Bombyx mori: one gene and its partner. The protein of the gene in region 1 binds, or shares a complex with, the protein of each later gene. Links are inferred from orthologs where the notes say so. Each region holds a gene or a part of one and is shown on either strand. Other genes may lie near its edges. The genes, in order: dystrobrevin beta and beta-1-syntrophin.

What was found.
Region 2: dystrobrevin beta (region 1) and beta-1-syntrophin share a complex: the UniProt entries of both Caenorhabditis elegans proteins name them as parts of the dystrophin glycoprotein complex. The link is inferred for Bombyx mori from reciprocal best matches to the Caenorhabditis elegans genes dyb-1 and stn-1.

Annotation. Positions count from the first base shown.
Region 1 is NC_085126.1:6,059,420-6,069,350, forward strand, and holds the start of dystrobrevin beta, read right to left. Parts: upstream 9,548-9,931; 5' UTR 9,216-9,547; intron 8,923-9,215; 5' UTR 8,894-8,922; coding exon 8,719-8,893; intron 7,872-8,718; coding exon 7,655-7,871; intron 7,223-7,654; coding exon 7,137-7,222; intron 6,505-7,136; coding exon 6,353-6,504; intron 6,183-6,352; coding exon 6,074-6,182; intron 4,951-6,073; coding exon 4,784-4,950; intron 4,711-4,783; coding exon 4,583-4,710; intron 4,240-4,582; coding exon 4,136-4,239; intron 3,397-4,135; coding exon 3,305-3,396; intron 2,998-3,304; coding exon 2,959-2,997; intron 2,236-2,958; coding exon 2,123-2,235; intron 1,735-2,122; coding exon 1,563-1,734; intron 1,016-1,562; exon of another isoform or gene 876-1,015; coding exon of another isoform or gene 820-875; intron 227-819; coding exon of another isoform or gene 38-226; intron 1-37. Other genes in the region: uncharacterized protein LOC134200749, read left to right, coding at 38-226, 820-875. UniProt on the Caenorhabditis elegans protein: Plays a role in cholinergic transmission and as a functional partner of dystrophin (dys-1), necessary for muscle maintenance. Required for localization of ctn-1 near dense bodies in muscle cells.
Region 2 is NC_085118.1:12,110,559-12,120,489, reverse strand, and holds the start of beta-1-syntrophin, read right to left. Parts: upstream 8,955-9,931; 5' UTR 8,365-8,954; coding exon 7,869-8,364; intron 5,024-7,868; coding exon 4,829-5,023; intron 4,217-4,828; coding exon 3,999-4,216; intron 3,732-3,998; coding exon 3,646-3,731; intron 3,498-3,645; coding exon 3,059-3,497; intron 2,198-3,058; coding exon 2,090-2,197; 3' UTR 1-2,089. Other genes in the region: zinc finger protein 62 homolog, read left to right, coding at 9,420-9,515. UniProt on the Caenorhabditis elegans protein: Adapter protein that binds to and probably organizes the subcellular localization of a variety of membrane proteins. May link various receptors to the actin cytoskeleton and the dystrophin glycoprotein complex (DGC).

The DNA of each region.
Region 1 (9,931 bases):
CATCTATATTCGAAGCCTGATTTTAATTTTATTTCAGAGGGCGGCAACACATATGAGTGTTTACAAGATTTGGCGCGAGTATTCAAACTATGTATGGAGAACGAGCCGCATTGGAATGAACACATAAGCGAAGAAAAATCGTCTGAAGAAGAAAGATCTCTAGATCACCCGTTCAAGCTGTTTCCGATTACACCGAATGACCACGACGCGCAATGGACGCAATCCAGTTTGTATACATTAGATTTTGGTTACAATATTTATATTTATGAACACTATCCTGATACTGAAGTTAGTTCACATCGCCCTAAGCACGTCCGGTAACCATTTAACACTAGGCGGGCCGTGAGCTCGTCCAGCCATATAAGCAATAAAAAAAGTGCAGTTACATAAGTAATTATGTTATAAGAGCTATTAGGTATCACAATGCGAGTCGATAGTGGTGATGCTGACAATTCTAGGTGTTCTATTTGAAAGCATAAAATATAATAAATAATAATAAATAAATATTTACTAACAATCACGCCACGTTAACTGGTCCCGTGCTAAGTTCGTAAAGAACTTGTGTTACAGGTACCAGATAACGGAAATAAATGTAAGATTTTCTATTATACAAATACATATATTTAATATACATCCATAACCCTGGAAAAGATATTTATATTTATCATACAAATATCTTCCCTTGGCGGGATTCGAACTCGCGACCCCCTTGTCTAGTGACCATTTCAATTACCACAGCACCAGACGGCCGTTATATAATATATTCCAAACGTAGTATAATTAAATGTCTAATATTAAAAAATTCTGCTCTTTTTACAGAATTCCACAAACCCGGACACGCTAAGAAGAAATATTGTAATAAACATTCCGAATAATAATTTATACAAAATTAACAGGAAAAAATATTTTTCTCTTTCTTTTTTCTTAATAATTGTATACTTTCATTTTGTACTTTCATTTATGTTGAATAATTTTTTTTTGATTTGATTTGAATAAATTATACGACTAAATTAAATGTGGTAATATTTTATTTATTATAAGCTATTTGACTCGGCAGACTTCGTAGTGCCTCAATCGATAAATAAAAGACCCAAACTTTTGTATAAAATAAACTTAAAACAAACCAAAGGAATCCATCCGACGGGGGATACACATCAAAAGGAAAACAAAATTATTATTTTTATATAATTCCGAGCATTTTCATATTTACCTAAACCTTTTAAACCTTCTGTGGACTTCCACAAATAATTCAAGACCAAAATTAGCCAAATCGGTCCAGTCGTTCTCGAGTTTTAGCGAGACTAACGAACAGCAATTCATTTTTATATATATAGATAAGACATGTTTTTATAGTTACTTATAACGGACTTATGACGCACAGATAATTCACTATTGATTAAGATCACTTATGTTCACACTTGTTACATTTTTAGGTCTATATGCCACTATGTAAGAATTCCTATTATAAAAAACCACACCCTGTACTCTGTACGTAACCCACTATACAGCGTGATATTTTAATAATACATTTGAAAACCAATATCTATTAAACCAATATTTACCTTCAGCATCCTCATGAGTCCCTCGAGCTGCTGCATTAGGTGTTTCCTGGAGTCCTGAAGCGAGGAGAGATGTCCTTCGAGTTCGTCCTTCCGTTGTCTGAGGGCTCTCAGCTCCGACACCAGCGGCGGGGCCGACGTCGAACCAGCACCGGCTTCGGCTTCCTGTTGGCGTCTGTAGCAACACATTATATCAACTCATCATCATCAGCCTGTATCTCTGCACTGCTTGATGTAGACCTCTCCCATGGTCCACCACAATTAACGATCCTCCGCCTTCCGCATCCAATCTTTCCCAGCATATCGCCGCAAGTCATCGGTCCAATGGGCAAGGGGACGCCCAACGCTGCGTTTACCGGTACGTGGTCTCCAGTCCAGAACACGTCTGCCCATTGCCATTTGTGACTACTGACATAACCCTCCCGATGGACAAAGCAAAAATTATATCAACTCACTAAACGAAAATTAATTGTACTAGACATCGAATTCAATCAGACGAACGATGTTTGAATCTATAGTCTGAATTCAGTACATCAACTATGTAGAGTTTCGGGAGGTCCCACCTGAGTCTCGCTATTTCCCTCATAATTTCTCGATTCTTAGCCTCCAGCTGTGAGATGAGCTCGCGCTGTTGTCGAGCCGCGTCCACTTCCGAACCTTCGGACGACGAACGACCCTAGAACGTACATAATTTAATTAGTAAAACGGTCATAAAAAACGGTGCGCGCCCAACTTGATTTTTTTTTATTGCTTAGATGGGTGGACGAGCTCACAGCCCACCTGGTGTTAAGTGGTTACTGGAGCCCATAGACGTCCACAATGTAAATGCGCCACCCACCTTGAGATATAAGTTCCAAGGTCTCAGTATAGTTACAATGGCTGCCCCACCCTTCAAACCGAAACGCATTACTGCTTCACGACAGAAATAGGCAGGGCGGTGGTACCCACCCACGCGGACTCACAAGAGGTCCTACCACCAATTTTTGATGCACCTGAATGAAGTGAAACTTCTTTTTCGATGTGAAGTATTGTGGTTTTCTTCATTTTTCATCCTAACATGAGATTGCTCTTGTAATAGGGAATGCTGTGTATAAGCGATGCGACAACTTCAACATTTATTTTATATATATTTTAAATTATAGCTAGAAAAATAAATATATATATATATTTTAAATACTTCATTAGACTATTGGACGCAACTCGTTGCTAACGCTCGCGCTGGCCTGTAACAGGTATACTACGCGCGTGCGCTCGAGTGCCGCGCATTCATTCTCGCTCTGTCTCTTTCTATTTCATGGCTGCGTTAAACGTTTAACGCTACCTTGTTGGAAGTCGCATTAGAAGTTTCACTTCAAAAATATTGAATTATCACTATATTTTGTACAAAACGTCTACGTACCAACTCAGGGGTCAAGGAGGCTGATCTTCCAGCACGAGGCTATGAAATGAAAAACATATAATTGTGAGTAGAGATACGGATTTTAGTACATTTTAAATATAATATCGACGCTTGAAAGCCAAACGTGACTAAGCGACAATAACTGATTTGTACATAAATGATAGGCAATAACCATATTCAATGTGCAAAAAATATATATTTCTAGGTCTATTAAAATCATTTCAATCCTACAGCTAGATTCGTTAAAAATTTTTTTTTTCATGTATTTCTCATGTAAAGTTTACGCATTGTCGCTTAGTCACTTTTGCCTTTCAAGCGTCGATGTGTTCTAATTCACACGTCCTACCATAGTCCGGTTTTCCTGGGCCAGTCTAGCCGCGTACCGCGCTATGAGGCGGTGCTCGTCGTCCACTCCACGCGATAGATGCTCTGCTATACCTGCAGCATAAATGTATTATTTAATTCTCAATTCTAATAAATGGCTTATTATAGAGTTCCATGTCATAAATGCTGCCAAATTGATTTAAATTATTCTTGGAAATAAAAATACTAATTTCTTTGAGTGAGTTCGAGGTAGTTACAAAGTAATGTCTTAAGAATACGGGTGTGAGTAGCCAAGAAGGATAAACGGCGACTTCCGTGGTATGATTTGTATTTGCTTCAATAACCACTTAACACCAGGTAGACCGTGAATTCGTTCACCCGTCTATACAATAAATGAAGCCAATACCAATGGAAATATGAACGAGATGAGAAATAGACTAGTATTACTAATAATAAAATATTTGGTATTTTTTTTAATTTTATTTTTTTATTGCTTAGATGGGTGGACGAGCTCATAGCCCACCTGATGTTAAGTGGTTACTGGAGCCCATAGACATATACAACGTAAATGCGCCACCCACCTTGAAATATAAGTTCTAAGGTCTCAAGTATAGTTACAACGACTGCCCCACCCTTCGAACCGAAACGCATTACTGCTTCACGGCAGAAATAGGCAGGGCGGACTCACAATAGGTCCTACCACCAGTAAAAAAATTTTTTTTTTTTTTTCAAAATGTAAAAGCTACATAGCCTATGTAATGTATAAAATGAATCTAAGTCTTGAGGTATCAGTCATTACGGTCGAATTTCGTTCGTCGAACGAACACTAGTACAGATAAATATAGATACGTACTGCGATGTGTGGATCGGGACGAACGCGAATCCAAAGAGCCCGTGTTGACGTAGCCACCCACGTACTCCGGGAAGCCGTTGTGGGCCGGCACTGGGGACGGAGGCCTGATAACACACTTCTCATATAATATATTGCAAATACTTTTTTTTAAAGGGTTTTTATGACCTGGTAACTAAGACCTTTAGGTAAAGTCTTATTTTAATATATACTCATAATTTTTATGAAAAATGATAATATGGAGTGAAATGATATTAAATGAAATGAAATGAGATGATATGGGATGAAATATAATCTCAGTAAAATGGTGGTCATTTACTGAGATTTTTTTCAGTGCACTTTTCGGACGATCCCGAGAAGTTACGTCCAGCGGCTTTCATTTTCCCACATTTGTGCACTTTCACAGATATAATATAATAATATATATAAAAAATAGTTTGATGCACTAACACAATATGGCTGAGGTTGAGCGTCCTCTCCGGTTGGTCGGGGTACCGCGGCAGCTGGGCTCGGGCCCGTTCGGGAACGCAGCGGAACGACTTCCGTAACGTAGCGCCGATCTGCTTCGACGGCGATTTCTGGAACAATTCATTCAACAATTCACATAACTTCGCTCTCCGCGTCGCCGTCAAGCAGTCCGGCGGTACTTACGTATGAGGCGTACTCCTTGACCTCGTGGTCGTCGGCGTGCGGCGGCGCCGGGCGGCCCCGCCAGAAGCAGTCCTGGCAGAGCGTGCAGCTGGCGCAGCGCGTGCAGCGGTACCGGAAGCCGGTGAGCGAGCCGCGCCGGCACGCGCTGCACGACATCGGGTGCACCACTGGGGAATGCAAAAACGAACTTTGTTATTTCCATCTGAACATTGATACACCACTTAACACAAGATGGGCTGTGAGCTCGTCCACCCATCTAAGTAATAAAAAAAAAGCAATTCCAAGTCATAACACTCGAGGTTTATTCCAGATTATTCTTATTCTGAAGGAAAAAATTCTTAAGGTAACATTAACTTAATCTAGAGATATTTTCTCAAATATTTCTTATCGTAATGTGCATTCATCTAACATTTACAAATTCAAAGAAGGTAAATGTACATTGAATTCACAATGACCATGTCGTTTTGGTAAATGTGAGCATGGCACCTCACCTAACCTACGACATATTATATAATATGCAAAGAAATGTATGTTTTGTTTGTCATTTACATTTTTTAATTAAAATAATTTTCGTTATTAAAGCCTTTTGTATTATGTTTATTTAAATATATTTTTACTGCTACAACAAATTTATTTGTATTTACTGTAACTTTTCTTAAAACACGAAGGTAAGAGTATACATTTACCAAAACGTGAAGGCAAGAGTACACATTTACTGGGAAACATACACATATGGGTACATATACATTATATTCAGTTCACATATACCTAACATTTTTGGCAAATGTGCACATTTACCGGTAAAAGTGTACATTTCCCAAGAGTGTACATTTACCGTAACATATACATTCAATTTTATCTACACTCCCAATAAGTCTGTCTTACTCCTCAATATGTTTAAAATTCGTGGCATTAAAAAAGCGACTCTAAATCGAGTTTTTTAAGGTTTAGCATATAAGAAAATGAAATAGAATACTTTTGATATAATCTTATTTATATTTATAACGAGTGTTAACTGTTTTGGTTTCAGATAACATTCATTACAAAACAAGAATATTTTATGAGCTTGAATTTGAATGGTAGTATAAGAGTTATTCCAATATATATCACACCCGCATCTATGTCTAGGTTGGAGACTGCATTCTATGTGATGTGAACCCGATAATCACTTAACACCAGATAGGCTGTGAACTCATACAACTCTACACAATAAAAGATAATGCATTTAGGCTTCATTTTGATGATAGCAAAAATTGTTTCAGTACTTATTTCTAGTTATAAGTTACTTACCATTTTCAACACTGGCAAGGCGATGCAATAATGGTAGCCAGACCAGGCATGGAGGACCAGGATCAGACATTAATGTGTCTAGGAAGTCATTCACTGTTATCTTTCCATTCTGAAAAAATATATAACATAGTATTAGTCAAATTCAAGTTCTAGAATAATTGAAATGAATTTTTTTTTCTACCAACACACAACCACAGTAGAAGTACTATAATATTTAAAAAAAATGCTATATATATTAGTTCAAGTTTAACAAAAAAAGGATCCAATTTTTTTACATACCTGATTAAAAATAGTTAGTGCCAATGTATCATTATAACTAAACGATGGTGACTCATACACAGCTGCAGGCAAGGCCAGTACTTCACGTAGATAGTCAGACAGTCTCTTCATCAATAAATGACCATTACCATCTGATAATTGCGAAAATATATCTGTGGAAAATATAAACTCAACTAACTAAAAGATTTAAGAAAGCAGATATCTATTTAATATCTACTTTATTAAAATGGTGTACTTTATTTTGTTTATGTTTTGTTAATAATTCTGTAATATTTTAACTTTATGATATACTTGATACATATATAAGACATAACCAAACAAGGTAGATAAATTACTCTTTATTGAAACACTATAAATATAATAGAGCATTGAAATAACAAATACCATCCCCGTCTGGATTGGCATTATTTATTACACAAATTTAAAAGTTTTCAATGAAGAAAACATTATACAATGTGTATATGTGTATGCATTTACAAAATATGTTTTGTATGGTATATATTTCTGCTTCCATACATCTAAATTTACATAATAATGTTTCAGCCCAAAATTTCAAATAATCTAAAAATTACCAACATAGGTTTAGGAATGTATTTATTACCTGTTGCTTAAATATGTTAAATGAGGGCTACAGTCTAACACTAAAATCACTTACACGAACAAGTATTAGATTAAAAAACATCACATACCACCAGTAATTCCCATAGATAATTTTATAATACATTATTGGTTAATTTATCTGCGGTCGTTTATTTATTACTTAATTTTTCTAATAAATACTCACATCGTAGTTTATCCATTAGTTTACCGGCGCACATTGTAGCTAATGCCACTTTAATTGAGAATACTCTGATTTTTCCCACATTCTCACTGAAATAATAATTTTAAATAATTGATTATACAAAAAAATTGCAAGACATAATGTTTGTGACATAATCAGAGTAAAGACAAAGATATGACTAGTATTTAAGTTGAAAATGTAAATGTAAGCATAAAATGATGCTTTGTTTTGTTCCTCTGAAATGTATGTAACATAAAAATTTATGAGTCATCAAACTATAGGTCACAGATTTTCTTTTTTGGGTGTTTAATTTAAGATAGTCTATCAAATACTATTTTTGTTGTCCTTGTAGGCAAACCAGCATACGGCCCACCTGATGGTGAGTAGTTACCGTCGCCCATGGACTTCAGCAATGCCAGGGGCAGAGCCAAGCCGCTGCCTACCGCCTATCTCTTCAATTCTAATATTCTTCTATAAACTTCTATCAGGAATATATGTAGATATAAAAATAAATCACTCACCCAGTACTGTATGCTGACAATAGCCAGTTTAAGAGTAACGCTGAGCATGCTTCTACTGAAACTTGGTGTGCAGGCGGTAAGCGTTTATTCAGATTATGATATAGAGATGACACTAAAGTTTCTAATCTTGTGACGTTTACACAGGCCGTTGGCTCTAATGTGTTGAGTGCGTTCTCACGAAATGCTTCTATCACATTCCATATGTCTATGACATGTACTGAAATACAAATATCCTTAATTGAACTTGCAAATTGACATCAATAAGTTATAACCATATTAAGTAAGGGAATGGACTCTATGTGAAGGGACAATTGGGTAGACACAGGTGGAAGAAGAAAATTAAAACCTTAACCATATACCATAAACCATTACGTTCTTCACCATCACTCAAAGTTCAAGGAAAGGGGAAGATAAATGACAAAACAACTACAAATTCAAAACTAAGATTGTAGTAAATAGTTTAGCTTGCTTATTCATAAACAAATTCAGCAGTAGATGTTAAAAATATATCTTCCAGCATTACATTGTTTACTCTGATACTAGTTTCTATCTGGCACTTAAATTTACATTAAAAGTAGAACAACTTTGAGACTGCTTTATAGGAATTAGGTAGAACTTTTAATCATATTACATTAATTAACTCTGTATTGCCGCAGTATTTATGCAATTAAGGACAATAAGACTTCAGTTTACTGAAAGTAAATGTTGCCATATGTATTTGTCACTAATATATTTCTTTGGCCAATCAATATATTAATCATCATCATCATTCTTTCGTATTACCCTCTGCTGGGGAATAGGGCTCAAAAAAATTTTCCATTTACATCAGTCTTAGGCAGTCTGTTCTAGCTCCTCCCACGTCATGCCCAAGACCCCTAGCTCCTACTCCACCAAGCGACGCCAAGTTATTATATATTATGTAAATCAATTTACAACACTAAAGGGTCTAATAACCACTATCGCAAAAAGAGACCCTTATATACATTCATGTTGAAAAGTTCATATTATTGAAAATAAGTTATTAAATAAATAGATTGTTATTGTTCTAACTATACATTACTCACAGTTGCACTTCTTTTGTACAAAGCGCAGTTTACAAGCTGTTCTGTATGATGCAAATCTGATTAGATCAAAGTTTTGTTCTCGCATTTCTTGTAGAAGTTGTGAGCGAGGATCTGCGGCTGCAACAACATTGGTGACTGGAGGTATACCTCCTATACTTTCACGATCCAAAGACATCTTGATAGGAGTTTTAATACTGCTAATACCTGAAATATAAACTCGTTATTTATTACAATATGTTAGCGCAGGTAACCGACCATATATAAATAATAAAATGTGGTGTTAAAATTGTATGATTCATTGGATTAAAATTAATAAGCTGTTTATTATCCCAAATGACAATATTATAAACTATTTTTCAATAGCGTCTTACTATTAATTCTTTGTATAAGATTTCCAGAAACTGTACCACTTACAAGTTAAATTATTTGCGCACTTATTCATGTGTATTTCGAAATTACAATTTTGTAATAAATTAACGAAAATTGAGAAATCTTACCTTTGCTTATCGGTTAGCTCATAATTTTGTTGACATAACGATAATATATTCACAACGAACCGCTGGTTTGTTTCATAGATCGATTCAAAGATAATATTAGTAACTTGGCTTTTTCTTGCAATATTCTTTGGGAGTAAATCACTTACTTATGTTAGTCGTAGTAAAATTTGTGTGTTCAGTATAAAGATATCATGCACTATTCTTAATCCTACTTAGAATAATTATTAATGCTTTACAATTTAATAATTCATAAGAGCTAATAAATTAAGGAATTATGTATCGAAATCAACGAAATGACAAGCTCCTGCCATCATAGTTACGTTTCATTTTACGTATTTCAAAAATCTAAGAAAAATTTACTTTCGTTTTTTTAAATTTCATCCCAGTTGACCGAGGTCTTTAATTATTCAGCTTCATCTCATTTAGCTCCATACCATTTTTCCTATTACAACAGAATGTAAGAATCAAATAAAAGACTTGGCTTAAAGGTCCCATTACCAGGCCATACAACCAAAAAAATATTTTAAATGAAACGAAACAACAAACGGTTTTTTGGCGGGAACACGAGCTATGAATTAATGTGAACTGTTTTAATATTTTGGTTAATTTTGTGACTAAGCGTGGAATATATTACTTTATTAATCGTTTAACGTTTAAAGTGTGGGCAAAAAGAAACAAAATAACTGGATGCGGCTTTTCGGGCTCATTCAAACAAC
Region 2 (9,931 bases), on another chromosome or scaffold:
CGTCCCATCATCAAAGGTGTCATTAATACTATCGTCTATCTTCATTTTCGGAAGTGATCTTTTTAACACGCAGTATATAAGCTTTCGCTGCCTCGACTCAAAGAACACGTTGTTGGTGATATTATCCAGGAATTCCCGAGATCGATATTCTATGTATTTGTAGCTAGATTTTAACTCAACAATCCTCTAGACTGATTTTTTTTTAATTGTGATATTGATTTTTAAACGTGGTTTCTCCGGGAATCCCTTAGGGGATTTCCAAACATACTTTAACTTCGACAGTCAGTTCCTAATCTCGTGTGACTAAAACCAGGGATGTCAGATGGAGATTCTTTATAAGCATGATGAATTGCTCAAATTCGGTTGAGCGGAATCGATGTAACGTCTTAGAACACGCCCCCCCTGGAATTTTGCATTTTCTTGGCATTCAGACTTGTAATCACGAATGTATATGTAGGTAATCATGGCCAGAAAATGTGCCTTTGCGTTAGTCTCTGTCAATCGCTTACAAGTGTCAAGTGTCAAGTGGCTACTTTGTCAAGTGTCAACGGTGCCAAATCGCAACTCTTTGCTTTAGCTTTAATTAAATGTTTTTTTAAATAGATAACGCGATCGAATCTCGAAACCATCCTGAATACAATTTTTCATGAATGATATAAAATAGATACATGTATATGCCGAAAAGTTTACTATTACAGATTAGCCATACAAATATACAGTCAAAACTATGCAAAAAACCAATCTGTTTTATTGTATATACTATACTAGTGAAGTGAGTGAATTGAGAATTCGCTTCAGATATGCAGAAATTTCGTTTGATAAATTGTGCACAATCACAGATACGTTTATTTTGATAAAAGAGATTCAATTTCAACGGAATACATTATATAATTTTATTGAGTATTTATTTAGAAGATTCGCAGATTTTTATACTCTTTTTAACTTCGGCTTAATGTAGCCTAGGTGGCATTATGTATTCCTCAATTTAATTCATAATACGAGTATATAATTATTCGATTTTGTTTTATCTTCGTCGGTTAATATTAAATGAAAACTGACGTTAAATGTTAAATTAAGCTTTCAATTGTTCCTTATTTAAATATAGGATTTTTTATTATTAGGCCAAAAGTGTTAAGAGTACACAAGGACATTATAGGAATAGTATTAATTCCCTTGGATCTGCTACTACTTATTACATATTTCACAGAGCCGGCTTTTACAGGTTCTGAAACCACGACCGAGCGTATTTGTCGATTATTGTACCGATATTTAAAATAGACCGGCATTTAGCAGAAAAGGCTCAAACCGCCACACTCAAATAGCACACATTACAATTATTTTAAATTTACTTCTATAAGCCGCGCCAATAAAGAAACGAATCTAAAATGGCAGCGGCGATCATGCGCTCTCAGTCTAAACTATTGCTGTCTTTAGTCGCACACGGCGCGTACTGCATGCAAAAAAAAATATTAGTTTCGACTTTGTTGTTGAGTTCGAGTTTTTTCACTTTCGAGTTGTGCTACTTAGCTGACTGGCAGCAAAAGTGTCTACGCAAGTTGCATCCTATATGAGACACCTCCCCCTCTGCCAGGGCACCAAAGTAAAGTAAAGTACTTTCTCATTTGTTTTTATTTTTATTTTTTTACAATAAACAACTTTTTCTTTCTATCTTTCTTTTTATTTGTTTACCCTACTATTTGTCAGTGCAGGTACATAGACGCCATTTTAGATTCGTTTCTTTATTGGCGCGGCAGAATGATATATTTTTGTTTTAGTCGCATGGGTTGCCAGTGTAAAAAAAAACCTTCGTTCATTGATAATTGTTGCAAAACTACTATGTTCCAAAGAGTTCGTTTGGTATAATCCTTGACTGAATCCTTTCTACTAAACTACGACCTAGTTATTTTACAAACCAACCCTACAAATCGAGTCGAGTGCGATCCAATTTGAATTTCGAACTGAGTACGATCCAATGCGTTGATCATACAAATCAAAACAAGTACAACCCTGATCATATCGATGAGAGCAGCTTCGACGAGCAGTTGTTATCGTTCGATGATGATTTGATGCCTTCTTTAAATTGTTCGGGTTATAGCGGGTTCGGTGTCGGATCTCCCGGCAGCGAGTGGACGCGAGCCGACAGCAAATTGTGCAGAATGAACACAGCCGGCTTCGGGCTACCGTCCATTTCTAGCTCCTGGCAAAATTACACGGAAAACGCATTTTAATGAAAAATATACACAAACGCGCATAAAACCCGGATGTGACAGAAGTGATAGGTTTTAAACGAGAAAATATATAAGTCATCTCTGTCTCGGTTGCATCAGAAACGTTTAGTTTTAGTTTGGCACTTCAGTTTGGTGATGTGTTTGGGTAAACATTTTCACTTTGCATCACCGTTTTCGATCAAACGTAACAAATACACAAATATGCTACGCCACGTGAAATATGCCACTTTCAACGGGTTTCCTTGATCAAATATTTAGATATGTATTCAGAATATACATTAAAATATATAGAAATTTATTCAGAAATATTCAGAGCCTGTCCACCCATCTAAGCAATAAAAAAAAACGGTGCGCTTGCAACTTGGTGCACGTAAATGAAGTGAAGCTTCTTTTTCGATGTGTAGTATTGTGGTTTTCTTCATTTTTCATCCTTAAATCAGATTGCTCTTGTAATAGGTAATGTGGTGTATAGGAGATTCGACATCTTCAACATTTTTAATATATATATTTTAAATTATAGATGCTATAATTTGAAATGCTTCATTAAAATATCGGACGCTACTCGTTGCTAACGCTCGCGATGGTCTGTAACAGGTATACTACGCGCATGCGTACGAGTGCCACGCATTCACTTTCGTTCTGTCTCTTTCTATTCCATGGTAGCGTTATACGTTTAACACAATTTTGTTGAATGTCGCATTAGAAGTTTCACTTCAATAAATCTCATTTATCTCTCTTCGTGCCCAAAAGAAATTTAACTTCAATCTTTAAATAGCACGGTACATGCCTATTCAAGTCTTATTTACAAAGGAGCAGCAATAGGTACTAACCAACGTGTCGTCGTCAGCGAAGTGCAGCCAGAGCTTGTTGTTGTCGTCGTCAGCGGAAGCGCGGAGTGCGTGCAGCGGGCGGCGGTACAGCGCGCGGCCCAGCGAGCCCGCCGCCTCCCACACGCACACGCCCGCCGCCCCCAGCGCCAGCCGCGCCGCCGCCCCGCCCACCGAGCAGCGGAACGTGAACTCGGGCTGCGCTCGCACCGCCGCGTGCGCCCCCTCCACCAGCGCGGACGCGGCGGCCGCCAGGTCGTGCGGCGAGTCCGCGCGCAGGGCTCGCTGCACCAGCCCGTCCACGCACCCGGCCCGCAGCCCCAGCGCCGCCGCCCCGCCCGCCCCAGCTCGCCGCCACCAGGCCAGCCGCGTCGCCGCCAGCCGCAGGCTCTCCGCCGGCGCGCACCATGCCTCCGCCGACCACGGCGCCGCCTCATACAGCCTGTTCAATGACGACCATTATACTCCAAAAAATTCACATAAACCATTATGTTAAATTTAAAAAAAAAAATCTCTCTGTTGTAAGCCCACATCGACACCACTGCAAAATGGCAAAATTTTAAAAGCACTATGTGCGCTATTAAGCTCACCTTAACTCTCTGTCTGTGATTGCAACGAATGTTGGCTGCCAGCCTTCAGTCTCGTCGGAGCTGTCAGACCCTCCTGAAGCGCTCATCTATTTTTAACAGAACATTCACGATTCATACAATTATTCCACTTTTTTAGTTTTATTATTCTCTTTTCAAATCTTCTCTATTATTATAATTCAAAATTAACTGACACCTTTTTCACACCTCGCTCGTTCAATCGTCCTCGCCATCTTGCTTTTGTCTTTCATTCTTTTGTCCCTTTCTTACCGTTTTTTCTCATACCTTAACACTCCATTCCACACGCTTTACATGCGTTCCGTCCTTACCCATCCTACATTGATTAATTTTCTTACATGATCTTGCGGTGGGCGCCTTGCCATCCAACCAGCATATCGCACATCGCCTACAAGAGGGCGAAGTCTCGGCCTGGCGCGAGCAAGAGCGGCGCGTGCAGCCCGACGTGCGGCTGCATGTAGCGCGCGATGCCACCCTGACGCTGTGGCCGCTGAACTGGCCCGTAATGCTAATGCGTGGACGCCGTCCGGTGAATATATTTCGATTGTGCGATCCTCTGAAAATTGCATTACATCAAAATATTTTGAAACCTTAAAAATATATACATACTAGCTGTCCCAGTCCACTACGTTAGGCAGTTAAAATTAAAATTAAAATTAAAATTATTATTTCTCAGCTCCACAAAGATTCTTATCATTAACGGCCCCGCAACTAGTGTAGAGAGTCCAACACTCATATAAATATTGGCCTATCCATTAAGTACATGTATTTTCTACATGGATACCAAGTTTCAAGTCAATCGGATGCAGGGTTTAGTAGTTATAACGGAACATCCGTAAAAACCACTGTAGATTTATATATTAGTATAGATATAGATATACTTTTTTAAAGTGAGTGAATGACTCGGTGGTGCAATAGTTAGCGGCCCTGACTGTTGTCAGAGGCAGAGGGTCACGGGTTCGATGCCCACATCGGGCAAGCATTGTCTGACGAACAGGTTTGTTTGTTCTTTCTGTGGGTGTTTGTTATCTGTATATGCATATATTTATAAACATGTATGTTTATCAGTTATCAGGTACCCACCCATAACAGAGGTAATCCTAAATATGGGCCAAGATGACGGCGCGTAATTTGTGGCCAGTTGTTATTATTATTATTAAAAACTGACCTGGGTCATTATGACGGAGATTCTTGGCAACGCATGCCATTAACAGTGGTACATAACGAGTGTCTGCCCGTCGACGGCGTGGAGATGGTGGCGACGGTGGTGTGTCTGCCATATACCCACGTTGTAGCTCCCATCCTACTTCACTTATAATGGATGCCTTACGGAAGTACGGTGTCACTTCACGGAGATATTTCACTGTAAAGGATACACAATTTAATTGGAAAATTGACTATTGTTCTTAAATGAGAAATTTATAATTGCCTAAACTGACAAATAATTATAGATATTTTCAGAAATGATTAAATGGCTAACAAAAAAATGCACATTGCACTACAATCACTTATAACAATGCAATGCAATGCAATATAAATTCGTCGTGGTCTGAAGGTTAAGACGCCCGGTGCATTCATATCGAGTGATGCGACTGTGTCGGTGTTCGGGTGCCGCAGCCAGGTACCAATGAAATACGTACTAAAGAAATGTTCACAATTGACTTTCCTAGACTTCCACGGTTCCCGGAATATCATCCGGAGCCCGCGCGGGTAAGTACCACCGTCCTGCCTATTTCTACCGTGAAGCAGTAATGCGTTTCAGTGTGAAGGGTGGGGACAGATGTGGACTGCAAAAAGTACTCATGTCTCGACATAAGTGGCAGAATTTTTGATGTCCATGAGCTCCATTAACTATTTAACACCAGATGGGCCGTGAGCTCAATGACCTACTTAAACAATAAAATAATCTATTATAATAAGAGTGTCCCAGAGCGATAGATGAGAGTTAGATGTTCTGCAACATTGTTAACTGTTATGTTATTTACAGTTTACTTGAAAGCCGTTTTCAGTTTAATGGTATTATTTAATATATTTCATGAAAAATCACTAAATAGATATGCAGATTATCACTATCAAGAGTTACAAGGAATAGTTAATATCTGAGTTTTTCACTGAAAATACCAAGTTAATAATGGCAATTGAGAAAAAGCAAACTAAATTGTCTTTAATTACATAAAAATGCATAATAATATATTTACTAACTGTTATTCAATGTTAAATGTTAAATGTTAATGCAATGTAATTAAGACGTGTAATATGGATGTAAAATCTGAAGTAAATTAAATAAATAAATAAATACCAATCAGAATGTATAAATATAATCTTGTGGGTATTTGTATATCTTTGTGCAAAAGATTATTTAGAGTAGGACCTACCTGGTATCTCAAATACAGTCTCATATATTTTTTTTCTCTACCTAATTATTTGTAGCCTAAGGGGCTTTTTTTTCGGGCCGGGGGTGGGAACCTCCGACGAGGTCCCCGCGCTTAGGTGGCTCGCGGGGTATGTGGGACTTGACGATGTGCAGGTGTTGGGAGCAGACTGCGGGTCCAAGGAATTTTAGGGCCCTACCGCAGTAAAGGACTCCCCTGCACTCTTACACCCGACAGAGATCGGCTCCGTCCGGGGTCAGAACCCGATCAGAATTGGGGGGTTTTCGCGGTCAACACTACAACCAGGCCCGCGACGCCACTTGGAGGACGCCCGACCAACTGGTCGTCGAGGCGATAGTCGACGACCAACGACGACAGTTTCCGCGGCACGACGGCCCTACCAGGCCGCCCGGGCGATGCCGCTGGTGTTCCGGGATACTCCGCTGGGACAGGACCAACTCGGAACCGGGTTGCTCTTCCACGGTACGTTCGGCGACGACAATGCTGACCACATCGCAGGCCGCAGCCGGCGACGCGTCGTCCCGTCTTCCTGGTGCCAGCGCGCTAAAGTAACGTAGCGTGCGGCGCAGTCTCAACCCCCTTAGGACGCCCCGTGACCATCACCCGGAGGAGACTGCCTCCTCATAGGGGCCGGAGCTGGCCAAACGCCCTTCTCCGACCTCCGGCTCGGCGGTGGCGGCACGGCGGCCAAAGGGAAGAAGAGCTCTCCCTCTCCCGTTCAGCCGCCTCCTTCTGCGTGATGGTGGACAGACTCGCAGAAGTCGATCATCGCCTGCCAGGACTCGTCGCTGCTAAGCATCTTAGCCACGACAGTCGGAAGCGACAAGTCCGGTCCTATTTTTGCAGCGAGGTCGCAGCGCTGCTCTGCGAAAGCGGGGTACTACGTGAGCGTGTGCTCCGCCGTATCCTCATTGCAGCCACTGAAGTGATGACACTTCGGCGTCGGCTCCCTCCGGGCGACGAGGTGCAAGTAGCGGCCGAAACAGCCGTGGCCCATGAGCACCTGCGTCGCCCGGAAGGTGAGAAATTCACCCAGTCCGAGAGGGCCATCAGACTTCCACTTATTCCTTAAGCTCAAAACTTTTTTGGGCGGACAGAAATTTGCAACAAATGATGAAGTCATAGCCGCTGTAGAGGAGTATTTTGCAGGCCTCGAAAGAAATCATTTTATGGAAGGCATTACTGCTTTAGAACGAAGATGGAATAAGTGCATAGAGGTTCACGGAGACTATGTCGAAAAATAAAGTTAATTTTATCACGAAAAGTTAAGTGTTTTATTGTTAGGGTAGTTACTTATCATCCCGCCCTTGTAAGACCAAGAGATCAGATATACATTCACATACAGCTGGTCATAAAAACAAAATTACTAGTATTTGTTAGTTGTTGTTAGTTACTATTACTAGTATTTGATATTCGAAATCACCACATCAATATTTTAAAGCAAAAATATTTTACTGGAAATCTGACGACAAACTGAAGTGTTAACAAACAATTGAGTTTTTTTAACTGACTCATCCTACATCCTTCATCATATTTTCCTTCATTACCACTTATATTCTATTCTATATTAGTACCTTAATATCTTTTTACTTTTCCTCTAATGTAACATTTAAAAACCAATTAAGCATACATACACTACACTAATTAAGCCAATTGACATTATGTGTAATGCAGGGCTATTTTTATTGAGGTCAATGAATGACTAGAGGCATCAATGACGTTGACTATTCTCAATTTGTTCATTTATAACATATTTTAAATTAAGAGACCCAATAAATAATAAATATTTAACCAAAAGATATGATAAGGACTCACCTTCCAGTTGTACCATTTTTCCAGCTCTCTTCAATGCCTTTACAGCTTCTTCGTGTGTCGCATCTTTGAGATCCTCACCGTTTACAGACAATATAGCATCACCAACGTACAACTGTTCAGTCAAGTCGGCTGCCATACCCTTGAATATTTTTGATATCAATATTGGCATGTTATTTTCGATTCCACCTTTTATTGATATACCAAGCCCGTTGTTGTCCGATTTCACAACTTGTACTAAACGTTTTTGGTTTGCAATTGCTTCGGGTACCTCTGCGAAGTCGCTGTTCGGAGTTTCGACGTTGTTGTTGTTCAGAGTGCCATTCAAAGTCGTTGTCGCATCATACCCATCATCGAGACAGACGCTCAGGTAATCGTCTTCTAATGAACAATGAACGCGATACCAAACACCACGGACTAACGTCTCTAGAAGACCAGAACGAACACATGTTGCACTAGGACTATCACTGCCACCACTCGAGGCACCGTTTTCCACCATAATTTACTATAATTGCTTGAAGAGTGTTAACTCTTCAATGGAATGATGACTTAAAAGAATACAGATCACTCAAGAAAAACAGCATGAATATCAGTTTAACAACAACTAACATGAGGTATTTTTAAAAACCAGATTTGTAAATGAAACTCAGTGTTCATCTCAAAATAAGAATTTATTTGCGCAAATGTCCAACAATCAATATATTTTGACAATTCCACAACTTTTTAAATCGTCATACACGCAAATGATACAGATTACTCGAAATACCTAAATAGAATTTTCAATGAAATTAACATTTTATATTAAAAATAATTCAATTCAGAGTTATAACGTAAAATAAACATTAAATAAATAATCAAGTCAGATCTTAGATTTAATCTTAAAGAAGTCGATGTGGCCGTAAGAATAAAATGTCCGGTGCTTTTGTATCGATTCCTAAGCGATGCGACTGTGCTTGTGTTCACAATTCGCAGCCAAGTAACAAGTAATGAAATAAGTCTTTATGAAATGTTTACGAATAGCTTCCACGGTGAAGAAATAACATCCCGTAATCAAATACAAAAATTATAATTTACGTAATTACTGCTGGCCGTCTTCTAAACCCACACCCATATGTCCCACTAGGTCACCTGCCTATTTTTGCCGTGAAGCAGAAACCCATTTCGGTTTGACGTGTGGGACAGTAGCTGTACTGTAAAACTAACACTCAGAACTAAAGACTCAAGGTGGGTGACATTTGCGTCATTCGTGTCGGTGAACTCCGGCAATAACACACCAGTTGGACTGTGAGCACGTCAAGCAATCAAAAATCTGAACGAAAACCGGGTTTCACTTCTGTGTGAAACATGATTCGGCGTTTTGACATTGTTTGGTGTTTATTTCTTTTGCCTGTCCAACACCTAATTAAGACTTAACGTACATATTATCTATGTTCCAGTTTATCCACCATAGATAATAAACTTATGTATCCACAACAATTGCACATTGGTTCACAATTTAAAATATTAATTTACAATTTCCTCTAACGAAAACCCTTTTTTTTATCAGAAATTTTAATGATGAAAGTCTGTAGAGCATGTTTGTCAGATAAATCTTTATACCCTCTAGAAGAAGAAATTGTCACCGAATATAATAAGCTCACAAATCTTAATGTAAGTAATGTTAAAGTAATGATAAATGTTAAAGTATCTTTGTGCTCCAAATAAAGTAAATAAACGTGTTTTCCAAATGGCCTGATACTCATTTTTCATTAAAAAAATACTACTTCCAAGTTAATTATTCCTATTCCTATTAATCCTATTATTCCTGTTAAGAATTCCTAATTCCATATTAAGCATACAAATAGCCAACAAACATCTTAAACGAAAATCTATTATCAGATTAAGCGCCTCTTTATTTGAAAAGAAATCGACTTCTGACTAAGTGGACATGGAAACATTTTATAGAAAAAAAAACTACTATGTAAACAAATTTGATAAAAGAAGTTTGGTAAATTTCAGAAATTATGGCAGCCTTTGCCTCATTCACTGTCTTTTCTGCATCCACATTTATCCATGTTCTAGTTTAA